2 linked regions of the Schizosaccharomyces pombe genome follow. The gene in region 1 interacts genetically with each later gene. Each region holds a gene or a part of one and is shown on either strand. Other genes may lie near its edges.

What was found. Genes that interact genetically often act in the same process or in processes that back each other up.
Region 2: mutations in fub1 (region 1) and hmt2 together harm fitness less than expected from each alone (positive genetic interaction), as found in Schizosaccharomyces pombe (one large-scale study listed by BioGRID).

Annotation. Positions count from the first base shown.
Region 1 is NC_003424.3:3,728,615-3,736,461, reverse strand, and holds fub1 (PI31 proteasome inhibitor domain-containing protein), read right to left. Parts: upstream 4,128-7,847; 5' UTR 4,020-4,127; coding exon 3,222-4,019; 3' UTR 3,099-3,221; downstream 1-3,098. Other genes in the region: GMP synthase Gua2, read left to right, coding at 863-901, 945-985, 1,186-2,725; glutaredoxin Grx2, read right to left, coding at 4,481-4,569, 4,654-4,722, 4,770-4,790, 5,038-5,191; NatA N-acetyltransferase complex catalytic subunit Naa10, read right to left, coding at 5,471-5,558, 5,762-5,818, 5,866-5,968, 6,284-6,478, 6,565-6,655; moa1 (meikin), read left to right, coding at 7,428-7,847. UniProt on the Schizosaccharomyces pombe protein: May play a role in the establishment of transcriptional silencing boundaries, preventing the propagation of heterochromatic silencing.
Region 2 is NC_003423.3:2,587,271-2,595,188, forward strand, and holds hmt2 (sulfide-quinone oxidoreductase), read right to left. Parts: upstream 3,664-7,918; 5' UTR 3,210-3,663; coding exon 1,830-3,209; 3' UTR 1,734-1,829; downstream 1-1,733. Other genes in the region: tkt1 (transketolase), read left to right, coding at 1-1,308; DNA-directed RNA polymerase III complex subunit Rpc25, read right to left, coding at 4,988-5,035, 5,170-5,438, 5,490-5,576, 5,693-5,900; hbs1 (translation release factor complex GTPase subunit), read left to right, coding at 7,194-7,233, 7,288-7,341, 7,385-7,918. UniProt on the Schizosaccharomyces pombe protein: Catalyzes the oxidation of hydrogen sulfide, with the help of a quinone.

The sequences.
Region 1 (7,847 bases):
ATAAGTATAATTTTGCTTTTTTTTTATTTTTATGTTTTATTTAGTAAATTGTTTTAATATTATGTACCAAAATTTGATTGATTCTTAAATATTATAAACTTTTCAACATTATTTAATGTTAAAAATGTTACTGCATATACATGTTATAGCAGTTATAGCAGTCAATAATAAAATATAACTGTACTTATTTTATAAGCTAACTAGCAATTTATTCTGATAGAACAGAATCTGAAACATTCTTTTAATTGAATGGAGTTCGATTATTTTTAAGAAATTGCCTGCATGCTCTATGGATTGTAATAAAATGGAAACAACCATACACAAGTTCACAGATCAATGAAAAAAAAAATAATAATAAACTGAGCATGGCCAGAAGATATAAAAAAAAAGCTATAACAATGGCTACCACTTGTTAAATGAGTAATTGATATTTTTTATCATTTTATTTTCTGAAAACTTATATTTATGGCAGAGAAAGGCTATGATACAATTCGAAGACTACAGCTAAAGAGTAAAATAAGAGGATAAAAAAATTTCATAAATATCATATATGAGTGCTTTATAACTCATCCGAAAAGTGAATTTTCACCTTAAAACCTCCTATATTATATGGAGAAATCGAAAAAGGAGATATCTGAAATATTACGAGCGATACATTGCTGCACTAAAATTCGTTATAAACAATAGTGTATGCGCATTACATTGGTCTATCTTTAAAAGGCTACATTTTTTTTCGCAAGGATTTAGCAACTTCACCATACTAGTACTTTGTGCCATTTAGGGGTTACCAGTGGTCATTGCCAGTTGCCATAAAGATTCCAACTTCATTAGATTAAAAGAGACTTAATTTTAATTACTCATCATGAGTTCCACTGAAGTGCCCGGGGAAGTCTCTACTTCTGTAAGTTTGCTTGTTAGCATCATTACTGATCTGAATATCAAAGGTTTCTTCATATTTTGATACCATTTTAATTCTTGACTTTGGGTACGTTTTAAAAATTATATTAAAATGAATTTGATTGTGATTGAAGGAGTTTCGCGCTTGTGATATATTAGTTGTGAATTTTTTATCTCTTCTCTGATCAATTCTTCAATGAGCCTATTTTTTATCTCATAAAAAATAAAAATGGCTCTAGTAGTGGTCTTTTCGACTTCCTGATTCGTTTGTACTAACCATAATTGTAGCTCTCAGTATAGTCATTTGATTGCCAGACGTCTTCGTGAGATTCACGTGTATGCAGAGTTACTTCCTTGCACTCAAAAAATAGAAGCTCTCCCATTTAAGCCTATTGGTGTTATTTTGTCTGGCGGCCCCTATTCTGTTTACGATGACATTGCACCTCATGTGGATCCTGCTGTCTTTGAACTTGGTGTTCCTGTACTCGGTATTTGTTATGGCATGCAAGAAATTGCATGGTTGAATGGACGTTGTGTTGAACCAGGTATCGAGAGAGAGTACGGTCCAGCTACAGTTAGTATGGAACCTGAAATCAAAACCGAGGTCTTCAAAAGCTTTTTTAACTCCATGCCAAAAGAATTTGAGGTTTGGATGTCTCATGGCGACAGACTAAGCGCTCTTCCCAATGGCTATGAAACAATTGGACGCACCAAGAATTCTCCTTTCGCTGTCATTGCACATGTTACAAAGCCCATCATTGGTTTGCAATTCCATCCTGAAGTTACTCACACTCCATTAGGTTTGCAACTTATTAAGAACTTTGCCATTGAAATCTGCCATGCTAAGCCCAACTGGAGTATGGAAAATTTCGTTGATAAAGAAATTCTTCGTATTCGTAAAATGATTGGACCAAGTGATCATGTCATTGGTGCTGTTTCTGGTGGTGTAGATTCAACAGTTGCTTCAAAGGTTCTGAAAGAGGCTATTGGAGATCGGTTCCATGCCATTATGGTTGACAATGGCTTGCTGCGTCTTAATGAAGCAGAGATTGTTCGTGAAACCCTCAATAAGCATTTAGGAATTCAATTAACAGTAGTTGATGCTTCTGAAGAGTTCATTGGAAAACTGAAAGGTGTTACTGATCCCGAGAAGAAGCGAAAGATCATTGGTAACACGTTTATTCATGTTTTTGAACGAGAGGCTGAGCGAATTGTTAAAGAAACCAACGGTAAAGTTGAATACTTATTGCAGGGAACATTATATCCTGATGTCATAGAAAGTATTTCTTTCAAGGGCCCTTCTCAGACAATCAAAACCCACCATAATGTTGGCGGTCTTTTGAAGGACATGAAGCTCAAACTTATTGAACCCCTTCGTGAGCTCTTCAAAGACGAAGTTCGTGCTTTGGGTGAATTACTTGGTATTGAACATAGCCTTGTCTGGCGTCATCCTTTCCCAGGCCCTGGTTTGGGCATTCGTATCCTTGGCGAAGTTAATGCTGCTCAGCTTGAAATTGCGCGTAAAGCCGACCACATTTTTATTACTGAAATTCGTAACCACGGCTATTATGATAAAATTTCTCAAGCTTTCGCTGCTCTTTTACCGGTAAAGGCTGTCGGTGTTATGGGTGACAAGCGTACTCATGAACAAGTAATTGCTCTTCGTGCTATTACCACTTCTGATTTTATGACAGCTGATTGGTACGATGGGTTTAGCATTAAGTTTTTGAAGTTGGTCAGCTCCCGTATTTGCAACGAAGTGTCTGGTGTTAATCGTGTATTGTATGACATTAGCAGTAAGCCTCCGGCAACTGTCGAAATGGAGTAATAATGTTCCTAACAGCATACGGTACCTTTTGTTACATCTTTTATACTTTTGGTTAGAAATTTGTTTAGTTCTTGGATTCTAGTGGCAGGTAGTAGTAAATAAGTTTAGATGAGGTTAAATAATAAACATCTAACAGCTTAAAAAATTTATGAGTAGGCATGTGCCCGAGTGTATGTTTTGAAATTATCAATTCGGTGCTAAGACCGTCCTATTGAAAATAAATACTAGACGTTTTCATTAGGTCCTGCTGGTTTCATTCTTAACACTTGTATAAATGCGCTCTTTAGAAGAGGAACTTACTAAACTTTGTACGCAAATAGTAGAAAACTCAATTATTTAAAGAAGTAGAGATATCCAGTAGTATGCGTTTATTCCGAAATTGAGCATTAAAATTCACATATTAAGAAAAAAAAATCAAAACCAAAATCTTTTACTATTATTTAAATAACATATCCTATCATCTAACATTTCTTGTAATACTTATAAAGTGACCAATTTACATAAACATATCGGATGAACCAGGTGGCATGAAGTCATCATTGTCAGGTTCACCGGGAAATTGAGATCGCGGGCCTTTAAAAGGAAATTGAGGTTTCCTCTCATCCCTGCCGAATCCACGAAAATCACCAGGGCCTGTGGGATCGTAACGAGCTCCTGGTGGTATATTAGTTCGGTTTGCTGAAGCTTGTTCATTTCGAGACCTGTTTTCAGGATGAAAAATAGGATGATTGAATGTAGGAATCATACCTCCATCGTTGCCCATATCAGATCCTCCGATTCCTGCTGGATACAAATCACTTGCTCCTATAGAAGGAAACATTGGTTGTGAGCCAGGCATTGCACCAAATGGTCCAGCAAACCCAAATGGAGCTCTGCTCTTCTCCTGATATGATTCATAATTTAACTCATTAGCCGAGGTATCTTTAGCGGTACGTGCAGCATGTTCAGCAAGCCGATTATCTGTATCAACTGGACAAACCTCTGCAACTAAAGATTCCAAATTCCAAGGCTGATCATCATCTAAACGGAAAATCCTTGTAGCTGTGATATTTGATGAAGTATTAGCACACAAAATATAAATCCATTTATTCCAAAATATTAAACGAGTAGAAACATTCTGAGACTCATTTACAATGTAGTTGAATTCACTGTCTTCAGTTAAGCTTTCAGTGACTTCTTGCAAAACATCTCCGTTTCGTAATTTACAGTTTTTAAATATCGCCCCAGTGTTTAGCATGGATTTATGGCATTTTTGTTGGAAGCGTAAACGATCGTCGGAAGTCGGGTTATTCATGATCAGTGAAAAATAATATAAATAAATATATACGAAAAACCAATTGTATTACTTGGGTTCAGTGAACAAAGGAAAAGTACATCACTTTGTACGTACTGTGTGTGTGTCTTCGTGAGGTCGCTTCTGTTGTGTCATTTATATTACCAAGTGGCAATCAATGCATGGCGACTACTAGAGGTGATGAGATTGAAGTCAAATGATTTCACTATTAAACTTGGTATATAGTAAGTAGAAAAGTAATCTGGCTAAATAACTTTTTCCAAAAAAAAGCACACACTGTGTGTTTTGCAACTGAAGAAAACTTGCTGTTCAAAGTGAGCAGGAAACTAGAAACTGATTGAAGATAAAGATACCTTTAATGTTATAATAGAATTGTTTTGCAACTGCACATTCAGTTCGTTATCTCGTTTCCCTAAAAAATAATATTGTAAAGTCGTTCGCTATATAAATCCTAAAGATAATCATAAAATTGAAGATTTGTTTTCCTTAAGCTCTGCTATCATCTTCGTCAAAGTGCCTGAGCTACGAAGTTTGTTCAAATCGGAATTGCCTTTATATAATGTATTAGTAATAAACAACAGAGAAAAACCAACGAGAATATTAATGGTCAAGGAAAACAAATTTGGGTTCATACCTCCAATGAATTGGTTGCGAAAGAATATGCTGGGTACTGTAGACTGTTTGGTCTTTTCATGTAAATAAGCTGCTCAGGTAAGCATATGATAAAATCAGTTTGTTAACTAAACACACCTTGGATGTCAGATCCATTTTCTAGTGTAACATCAAGTTAGTTAAAAAGGATGAAAAGCAGAACAAAAAACTTGAAATGTTTCGCTATTTCTCAAGATCATGGAAGGAAACAAAAATTTTCGTAGTTTCATTACACAATTATGAGGTTTCGAAAACCCAATTAGACTATTATTTCATATACTTAATTTATGTAGACATAACTCAAGAAACTTTACAATCGATCAACTGAATCTTCAGCTCTTAAACAAATGAAGAATACCATACTTACCTATTTTATCTAACTCATAAGCCTTATACGGAGCAGAGTACTTTGTAAGAGTATTTTTGGCTGCTTTGCAGAAAGGACAGAACGATTTACTAAAGACAGTAACCGGATTGTTTGAGATCGCCTTTTCAACAAAAGCTTTTGCTATAGAAGTCATTTCAGCTTAAATAGGTATTCGTCTAAAAATGCAGTGGATATTGGTGACAAGTAATACAGTATGACTATCGAGGTGTTGGGCTACCTAACACCAAACGACACGATTAGGCAGTTAGATGTGATAAACAAAAACTCGAAATTACAAGAGTTATTTCGAAATATATTTAGTACACCAGTAAGCGAGTACAATCAAATGTTAAATACGCTATCACGAAGTTATAACTGCAGTATCGTACACTACACCCTAATTCACTAATTAGAAATAACGGTATATATTTTATTAGTTGTTCAATGCAAGAGATTGAACGGTTTTTGCTAGTTCGTCGTTGGTTTCTGGTGTATCGAATTTCAAAGTAGAAAAATCTTTGCTAAAAATTGTTAGTAACCTAGATAGTTGTGATGACGTTGAACAGTCATATATTGTCTGAAACAACGTAGGTAATTATACAGAAGTTGACCAAACTAAAGAAAGAACGATTGTCACAAAGATTGTATATAGTTTTTGGAAAGAATACTCATTAAACGATCCATGCAACCATCCCCAACCTAGTTTTTACAACAAAGTACTTACTGCATAGCATAAGCATCTTCACCATCAGCATAATATTTGCTTTCAATCCCTTGAACGCTAAAATAATGTTAGAATCTCTTCAATGATGGCGAGTAAAAACATACTCAAATTGCAAAGTATCACGATAAAGATGAATAGCAGCTCTGTTGCTTTTACGAACATGAAGACTCATATATTTGGCGCCATAAACTTCGACCATGGCTCTTTCTGTTCATTTAAGTAGTTAGTATCTTTTACTTTTTTTAAAAAAATTTTGTTTAAGGAATGGACCGAAAATATCAAGGAATCAGCAGGAAGGAAACATTGTCGAAAACAAATTAGGTAAAAAAAATGAATTGTTGCAAGGAAAAAACCAACTCACCAAATGAACAATTCAAAGTATTAGCAGACCAAGTCTTGCACAAAATAAAATATATACATATTGGAATAATCATCGATAACAACTGCAAAAAAGCTTAAGATTTCCCTCTAGCTCCTCCTTGGATATATCCGTAATCTACTTCGCTCTCAATTAACACTTACGACTTTGAACCATGAGACGTTTAGCAAGTCCTAGATGACGATAGGAGCGCATTACTGAGACACTTGTGATATGACCATGAGGGATCCCATCCTTAGGCTCTTCTTCCATTTTTGCAAGAACATATCCTACGACACGTCCTTTCGGATCAGTAGCAACATAAGAAAGCATAGGCCAAGAAATAGCATGATAAAGGTCTACATTAAATTAGAAAATAAGAATCATTGTTTTAATACTGGAAGTTCATTGCCGTGCAGCAAGAATTACAATGAATTGAACTTACAATATTTTAACTGATAATTTTCAGGCAAGTTATGTAAGTTGCAGTTCTGCATCCCAGTAAGGTCACTTATACGAGCTGGCCGAATATCCATCTTGCCAATCGTTTAATTTTTAGCAATATCTATGATTTTTGTTTGTTAGTGGTTGGAATCAAATTTCCAGCATACCATATTTTAAGAAAGCGCAGTGAATGTAAAACGAAATTCAGGGAATGCAAAGCAACTACTGCAAAGCTTTTAGAAATGATAAGATTCATTTGATGTTAATATTATCTGTCAAGTATTTTAACGTCAAATATTTACTGCTTTGCTAAAAAAACTATGTTTTTTGGAGACTCACAATGTTCGACGTTAAGCTCCTTTTAAGTTACAAGCCGTTTAGTACACATTGCATAACCAAATTTCTAATTACTTAATGTTGCGTTTCCTAAGTTGTTTTGATTTTCAATGCAGATGATGAGAAATCCTTATTATAAATAGACAATGATGTTTACGATGGATTGCACACTTAAAGACATTAAATCAAAACTTTATATTAATTAGCCATTAATTATATAATCTAAGTTAATACTTATAATCACCATAACATATTTTGTTTACTGTGGAATCAAAAAGGATTAGCGATGCTTGATTGAATCCTTTATTATCTTAAAGTCACACTACCTTGGTTTTCCTTTAAAAGTTTTAACAGCAGCCTTGTGGTTTCACTTAGGCTAAGTAAACTCAACGAAAAAACATTAAGATTTGTTATTCGTAAATTCAGCTAGTAGACCTCGAACATTAGGTTTTCCCATTGGTAAAAATGTAAACAAAACCGCATTAATCATATAAAACATTAAGCGAAAAAAAACAATAGATTGCATTTATGGCTATAAATAATGAAAACGAATTAGAGTATAAATTAATAAAAAAAAACAAGAATCCTAAAATATCAAATTCAAAAAAAAAGAATTCGACACGTCCAGCTTTACAAGACAAAACTAATCAAACATTACCAATTCATCAAAATCAAGCCTTTTCAAACATTCTTCCATCTGATTTTTCAATAATTAAGACACCTGAGACAAAAACTGCTGACGATTTCCCCGTAAATGGTTACGAAGGCTTAAACATTTTAAAATTTGATCTCGAGTTATTTTACAAACTTAAACCTGTAGCAACGTCGACCCCGAAGTCTTGCATGAGGACGGGCTCCAATTTATTTTTAAATGAAACTGTTAAACATGTTCCAGATGAACGGTTAGTTTCAAACATCAAGAATACCCAAACAAAGGACTCTATCACA
Region 2 (7,918 bases), on another chromosome or scaffold:
CTCAAGACCACCATTGGTTACGGTTCTGAACTTCAAGGTACTCACAGTGTTCACGGCAGTCCTCTTAAGCCTGAAGACTGTGTTCATGTCAAGAAACTCTTTGGTTTCGACCCCACCAAGACTTTCCAAGTTCCTCCCGAGGTTTATGCCTACTACAAGGAGCGTGTCGCCATCGCTTCCTCTGCTGAAGAAGAGTACAAAAAAATGTATGCTTCTTACAAGCAATCTTACCCTGATCTTTCCAATCAGCTTGAGCGTATCTTGAGCCGTAAATTCCCCGAGGGTTGGGAGAAGCATCTTCCTGTTTACAAGCCCGGTGACAAAGCTGTCGCTACTCGTAAGCTTTCAGAAATTGTTCTCGATGCTCTTTGCCCTGTCTTGCCTGAACTTGTTGGTGGTTCCGCTGATTTAACTCCTTCTAACTTGACTCGTTGGGAAGGCGCTGCTGATTTCCAACCTCCTTCTAGCAAGCTCGGTACCTATGCCGGTCGTTACATTCGTTACGGTATTCGTGAGCATGGTATGGCTGGTATCATGAACGGTTTGGCCGTCTATGGTCCTATCATCCCTTACGGTGGTACTTTCTTGAACTTTGTTTCTTATGCTGCCGGTGCCGTTCGTATGGCTGCCTTGAACAACAGCCGTGTCATTTATGTTGCTACCCATGATTCTATTGGTTTGGGTGAGGACGGTCCTACCCATCAACCTATTGAGACTTTTGCTCATTTCCGTGCTATGCCCAACATTAACTGCTGGCGTCCCGCTGACGGTAATGAAACTTCCGCTGCTTACTACAGTGCTTTGACTAGTGATAGCACTCCTTCTATTTTGGCTTTGACTCGTCAAAACCTTCCTCAACTTGAGAACTCTACTATTGAAAATGCTCTTAAGGGTGGTTATGTCATGTTGGAGAACAAGGAGGCCGATATTACTCTTGTCGGTACTGGTTCTGAAGTCTCTCTTTGCATTGACACTGTCAAGACCCTTGAGACCGAGTACAACTTGAAGGCTCGTGTCGTTTCATTGCCTTGCTGGGAAGTTTTCGAACAACAACCAGAAAGCTACCGTCTTTCTGTCATTCCTGACGGTATTCCTGCTATGTCCGTCGAGGTTTGGGCTACCAATGGTTGGAGACGTTACGTTCACGAGGCCTTTGGTATGCACACTTTTGGTGACTCTGGCCCTGCTCCCAAATTATACGAGAAATTCCATTTCACCACCTCTGGTGTTGCTCAACGTGCCAAAAAGACTGTTGATGCTTACAAGGATATCCCTTATATTCGTTCCCCTGTCCGCCGTGCTTTCTAATTTAGTAGCATTTTTTCTCTAGATTCTTTTAGGATTGATTTGCTGGCTTAGAATTCAATTCGTGCGGAAGGAAGTAGTTATGAGTGAATTGTGTTTTGTCTTTATTTGAATGTAAGTCTATAAATGTGAGCAAAATATGAATGCATAAATATATATATTTTTGTATATATGATATTCGACGATATAGTTGGAATTGTGAGTAGAGTATTACAATAATTTTGCATCTACTTTAGTCAATGTAAGTGCAGTTTACTGGCGTTTATAGTTGATGTATTACAAACTATTTTTATTCATATTTAAAATTAGAAGTAAAAAGTTGATATTTATTTAATAACTTTATTCAAACATTCACAGACGTACATAACTTTAGAGTACTTAATAATCAACACTGTTTTTCTAATCAAAGATAAACCTAGTAAAGGTATGGTAAGGAAAGGGGGTAACATTCAATTATATAAGGGTTGCTACTAAATCATGCCTAGCAGATTGCATTATTTTACGCAAGAAAGATGATTGAATCTTTAATTAACAGGAAAGTGAGGAGGAATCAAACCTCTGCTGCCATACCACTTACCATTGCGGACGGCGAAATTCCAGTAAACAAAAGGAAAGAAGTCCTTCTTAAGGTGATAAAACATGCGACGAGGTACAGTTTGGTCAAGGAAACGAGAAAAGCGACCGAAAGATTCTTTAGGTTCTTGTTTGTACAAGAATTCGGCCAAGATAAGCTTACCATAGCCAGTGAGTAGCGGGCATGAAGTGTAACCATTGTATGATGCAGTTAAATTCTTTCCATTAACGAAACTCCAAAGATTGTGGACCATAACAGGAGCTTGTGCAGTAATGGCAGCGTAAGTCTTACTAGTTGGCAAACCACTGCAATCACCGATAGCGAAAACATTGGGGAACTTGGTCGATTGTGTAGTAGATTGATCAACAGCAACAAAACCAGATTTATCAGCCAAATCACTCTTTGCGATAAACTCATGAGAACGCATAGAGGGGACGGCATGCAAAAGATCAAAAGGACGCTCGAAGAGAGAGCCATCGTTTAAATTCTTAAATACGGCTTTACGTTCAGATCCCTTAACTTCAACAAGCTCATCTTTATAATTAATCTTGACATTGCGATGTAATTGCTCATTTTGGCGAAGAAGGGCATCAGAATAGCGCTTAACCGAGAAAAGAGTAGGCATACCAGTGTAGAAGGATACATCAATATTGGAACGAACTTTATGACGACGCCAATAATCTTCAGCCATCCACATAATCTTTTGTGGAGCGCCGGCACACTTCAAGACACCGCTGGGTTGAGTAAAAATGGCATTTCCAGACTTGGTTTTTTCAATCCAAGGATAAACAGCGTCAGCATATTTTTCTGAATAGATAGTAACTACAGGGGTGTTGGGGTCATCCAAAGCCTCAGTTAAACCCTTGATTCTGCCAAAGTCAGTATAAATACCAGCTGCCATAACCAAATAATCATAGCTAATTTCTTGACCACTTTGAGTAACTATTTTGTTTTCACGAGGATGTAAGGATTTAACAAATTCAGGATGGAGTTTAAATTTGTCAGCAGGAACCAGGCTAGCCAATTCTCGTCTGGTCTTAGCAACAGAACTCAATCCAGCACCAGTCAAAGTCCAACCAGGTTGGTAATAATGATACTTGGCACCATCCACAATACCAATTTCACCGGGTTTGAGGGATGTATCTTTGCCTTGGTCATTGGCAAAGCGGTATTTAGAAAACTTGTTGTAAATTTGATGGGCGACGGATATACCAGCGGATCCACCACCAACTACTAAAACCTTGTGATGGGTAGAGGCGAATCGAGCCAACATGGAAGCGGACTGAAATGAGCCGGTGACCGACTTGATTGTTGAGTTTAAGGTCAACATTTTTAGTTGCAAAAATGCAAAAGAGAAGTGTTTTTTTAAAGGTAAAGGAAAAAAAAAGGAGGCAAAAAGTAGCCTAATAAAACACAAGAAAACAGAGGTTGAGCGGAAAAAACGCGTTTAAAATTTCAAGAATTTAACACCTCAATAAGTAAATCAGGAGAAAAGGAATTTTTAAAAAAAAAATTTTTGATTACAATATCAAAGAATGTAGTCAAACAAGCACCACCTTTCAAGTGTACTAGAATAAGTGCTAGTCTGTTTTGACTCAAGCGAAGTAAAAGAAAAAAAAAAATTTTTTATTTCTTTTATATGCACTCTTCAATGTACTTTAATTGTTCAAGAAACAAGCACAATTTAGTCTACCGGCTGTCGTCTAAAAAGAATGGTGTAGTGTACAAAATAGAATTAACGGAAGACAAGCCTATGTAGAAAATATTTGCAAATACAGTCGACTAATCAGAATTAGCAGCATAAGGTGTTTATATTCAGTCGATAACTCACGTCAGCTCCGAAGGCGTAATCGGTTACGCAATTTTGTCAAGTGCTTGCGCTTTGCTTGTGATTCCGAAATATGTGGCATAACTTTATTCATTTTAGGGGCAAATCACGTGGATTTGCTAAGTTTCATTAAAGTTTGTAAAGCAAAAGCTATCGAGGCTTAAGGAACTCATAAAAGCTGCTTAATGCATGTTTCCGTAAATTAATAATAGTACTAGAAGTAAGAAAGTGAATGATTTTGTGGGTATGTGTATTTTTAATTTTGCAAAAATATTCGTTTATCCCTAAAGTAGTACAGTAGCCGAAAGAATCCTTTATAACGTCCATGCATTTGTGCACAAATACAACAAAATTAGAAGTTTGTCAAATTGCTGTTGGTCATTTTCAAATAGCAAATAGCAAGGCGCTGAAATGTTAAGGTTGCTATTTTCTGACATATAACGAAAATCGGCTGTACTAAAGAGTAACGTGGGTTGGCGATGGACATTCTTTGCTGAAGAAGCAAACATTGTTCATAAAAAGTAGACTGATATTCTATTATGCTATAAAATGAATCGGCTCTTTTGTGTAATTAATTAAATTTTCCATATTCGGTAATACTACTAAACATTAGTATACACAATACCAAAATCAATCAAATCATACATAGCATGGATCGTTTGTTTAACATTGAAAAATTCCTTTACGCAGTGCGGAATCTTCAGTTGTTAGATTGAATATAAAGTTTTAGAACATATGACTCTTTTAACCAGATTAAATTTAAGCTTGACATGAAAGTACCTTTATTAAAGTAGCCCCCTGTTAGCAAATACCATGATCATCCAAGAAGGTAAATTTTGAAGAACGCCGTTTTCATAACCATTATGTGTTGCTGTGCAAAGATGTAAACAAACTGATTTTTCGATACAATAATATACCTTTAAATAGAGAAAAGCTAAAAAAAAAAAAAAAAAAAGAAGTAGTTGATTTATAAATAACCCTTTTTCACTAAAAGCAACCTTTAAGTAGGACATGTCTAAAAACAACACAGGTATCTCCAACGAAATAATAAAACCCCAAAAGGTTTGTGCAAAAACCTTCGGCAATGAAATTTATAAGACGGGATGAATGTACAGAATAGAATTGCAACCATTTTCTAGACCACGTGATTTTTGGGAAATTTTGGTGATGCATTAGATGAAGAAAAATAGAACATGAATGAAAGTCTACTTATACAATTTGGAGTAAATGATTAATTGATGCTTTTAAATTTTGTTTGACTTTGATTCGAATCCAATAGCTCATTTCCACCAAGCAGGAATGCCCAGTCCATCACGAGAACAGGAAGCCTAAATATATAGTTAGTAAATTCTATCGATTTGAGAGAAGCAGAAAATATTTTCTTGTATACTAGCAAATAGATGGTGCACCCTTCATAAATAATGACACAAGTTTCGCCCTAAACATAAAAAAAAAAACTTACAATCAATGTATATGGGGATACCGATTCCAATGCTTCTGTGCCTGTAATCGCGGTTGCATTTTTATTCCTCTTAGGTGAAATATCAACAAAGTCCTCAGATTCTATTTGAAAGCGTATTTCTTCATCAATGTCAAAATACAATTCGGTTCCCTCTGAGCCGTCCTCCCCTTCAATTTTCCATACCCAGGCACGCTCATCCGGACGAAAGACACATGGATCGAAAAGCATATCTTTCGGAATGAAAATATCGTCAAAAAAGCTAATAGTTACTGGGAGAAAAACATTAACAACAAGCATTTAAACAAACACATTTAACATACCCCGAATACCTTCTTCACTGCACGATTTTATTTTTCCCAGCATTACTTCACCTCGAAAAGGACGAAAGATTATAAGGCGGAAAACCACTAATCTAATTAGAACCATTTAAGTTTTTCTTTTCCACTGAATCACTATCCTGACAGCCTTTCGTATTGATAATGCGAATTGGCATATGAAATAAAGTGAGCAGACTTATACTTACCATTCATGTATGAAGAGCCATCTCCGTATTTAATTATTCCTTCCCCAATTTTCAAAAAATCATAAACGCAAATAGCCAGTCCAATGTTTTGTATCACTTTGTTAGCATACTTTTTATGGATTTCTTCAGCCAGTGCTTCCTTTGTAGGCTTCCAAAAATTGGATGGATGGATGCTTATAATGTCTGAAAACCGACTCAAGAGAAACATAAATAATAAAACGGCTATTACTCGTAGTTTTTACCACCTTGTAGAAAAAATCTTTAACTTGAATAGAACGATAAATAATTAGAAATACAACAGTGGATCACAATCCAATTTAAAAATATTTCTTAACCTTTTGGTCAACAACTTTGCATAAATCAAAAGGAACCTTTCAAAAAAGTAATTTAACTGCAAGCCCAGCTTTCTTTGCCAGGTCGCGTAAAAATATGAATACGAAGATTATGTTGCATACCAGACCATTCATGGCGAGTTAACGATCTAATGAAAAGCGTGTTAAACGACTTAGCGAGGCCAGTGAAGTTTTAGCGCAGTAGCTTTAAGACAAATCCATGAAATATTGTTTACAATTGAAAAATTATAATGAGTAGAAGTTTCAATCGCTTATTCAAACATACAAATTTATTACAGAATTAATATAAATTTTAAATAGTTAAAAGGATGAATATAACAAGATTGTTGAGTGTTCTGTCGATATACATGCTCATGAGCAGTTAAGAAGTAAAAACAAATAATTAATGAAAGAATTCTTTGAAAATCGAACTACTAAATAATTTTTTAAAATTATTAGCTATTTTAGCTTTTTTTTCTATTTACAAATTCTAGCATATTTGTAAATAAACATTTTTTGTTAATATCTATGAGCAGTATTTAAAGATAAAAAAAAGGAAAATAATTAATTAAATATTGCTGCAAACATATCTAACGAGAGTATGGCATACTAAAATTTCCTGAAAATTTGACGATTCTGTTAACTTTAATATTGGCATAGTTTAGAAAACTTAAGTAAATCATTTTTTAGTCATTAAAAAGTTAAATATTTCATTTTGTTACATGAACGCCAAAATTTTTGAATTTAATGTTTAACAACTTTTGATACTTGACACTACAAACAGACTTATGTTTTCCCTACTCTTACTCATCCGAATTCAATAGTTCATAAAACATTTGAAGACAATGAGAGAAATTTACTATATAATGAATAGAATGGGTCCGGTCCGGCTTAATAAAAGGCATCCACCCTAAAACACTCAGTTGTTACAGTTGAGAATTTTTAACAACTCTTGTTGCAGCACTCAATTCAGTATAGCGACATTGCTAAAATTCGCTAAAGCTGCTGATGATGTATGAATATTTCCAAGAATTTACTCTAGAGCAAAGTGTCAAATGCCAACTTAAATATTATACATATATTTATTATTTATCAATAGAAACCATTTTTTTTAAAACAAGAAGTATTTATTGGTTTCTGACTTTTGGCAAAAATAACAAATTCAAAATATGTCGAGGCATCGTGATGTAAAAAATCTTGATCTTGATGGTTCGTACCATTTGATATTGTAATAGTTTGTATTTTTTTTTAACGTCTTTCTAGATTATGAACTCGACGAGGAGCCAGGAGAGGAAGAATTGACTGAAGAGCAGGAAGGTTAGTAAATGATTTCTTAAAAATATTAACGAACAATATCTAGAGGAATTCAGGTCTGCTGTAGCCACAGTAAGGGAGACATTATTAGGTGTTCCTATTTCAGAAAAAGAAATTGCCGATACAGTTTGGTACTATTACTTTGACGTAGAGAAATCAGTCAACTATCTTTTGCAAAAGGCTAGTTCCAAAGCTGGAGCTAAAGAAAAACAGAATACTGATTCCCAAAAAGAAAAAAAACAGAACAAATCGAAAGAAGCTTTAGCGGATGCCAAAGATCCATTGGATGAATCTTCTAATGGTATTAAAAATTTAAGCCTAAACAAAAATGATGAACCAGCATTTCAGACGAACGGTGAAGTAAAGATGAAAAATTCCTCCGAAAGCGATAACCAACCGGAGAAAAAGAAAATTAAAAAGCAAAACCCGACGGATCTAGTATCTGTTCCCGAAATATTTGAACAATCCAATCCTAAACCCGTGGTTCACTTAGTTGTTACAGGACATGTTGATTCGGGAAAGAGTACTATGCTTGGGAGAATAATGTTTGAGTTAGGAGAAATCAATAGTCGGTCAATGC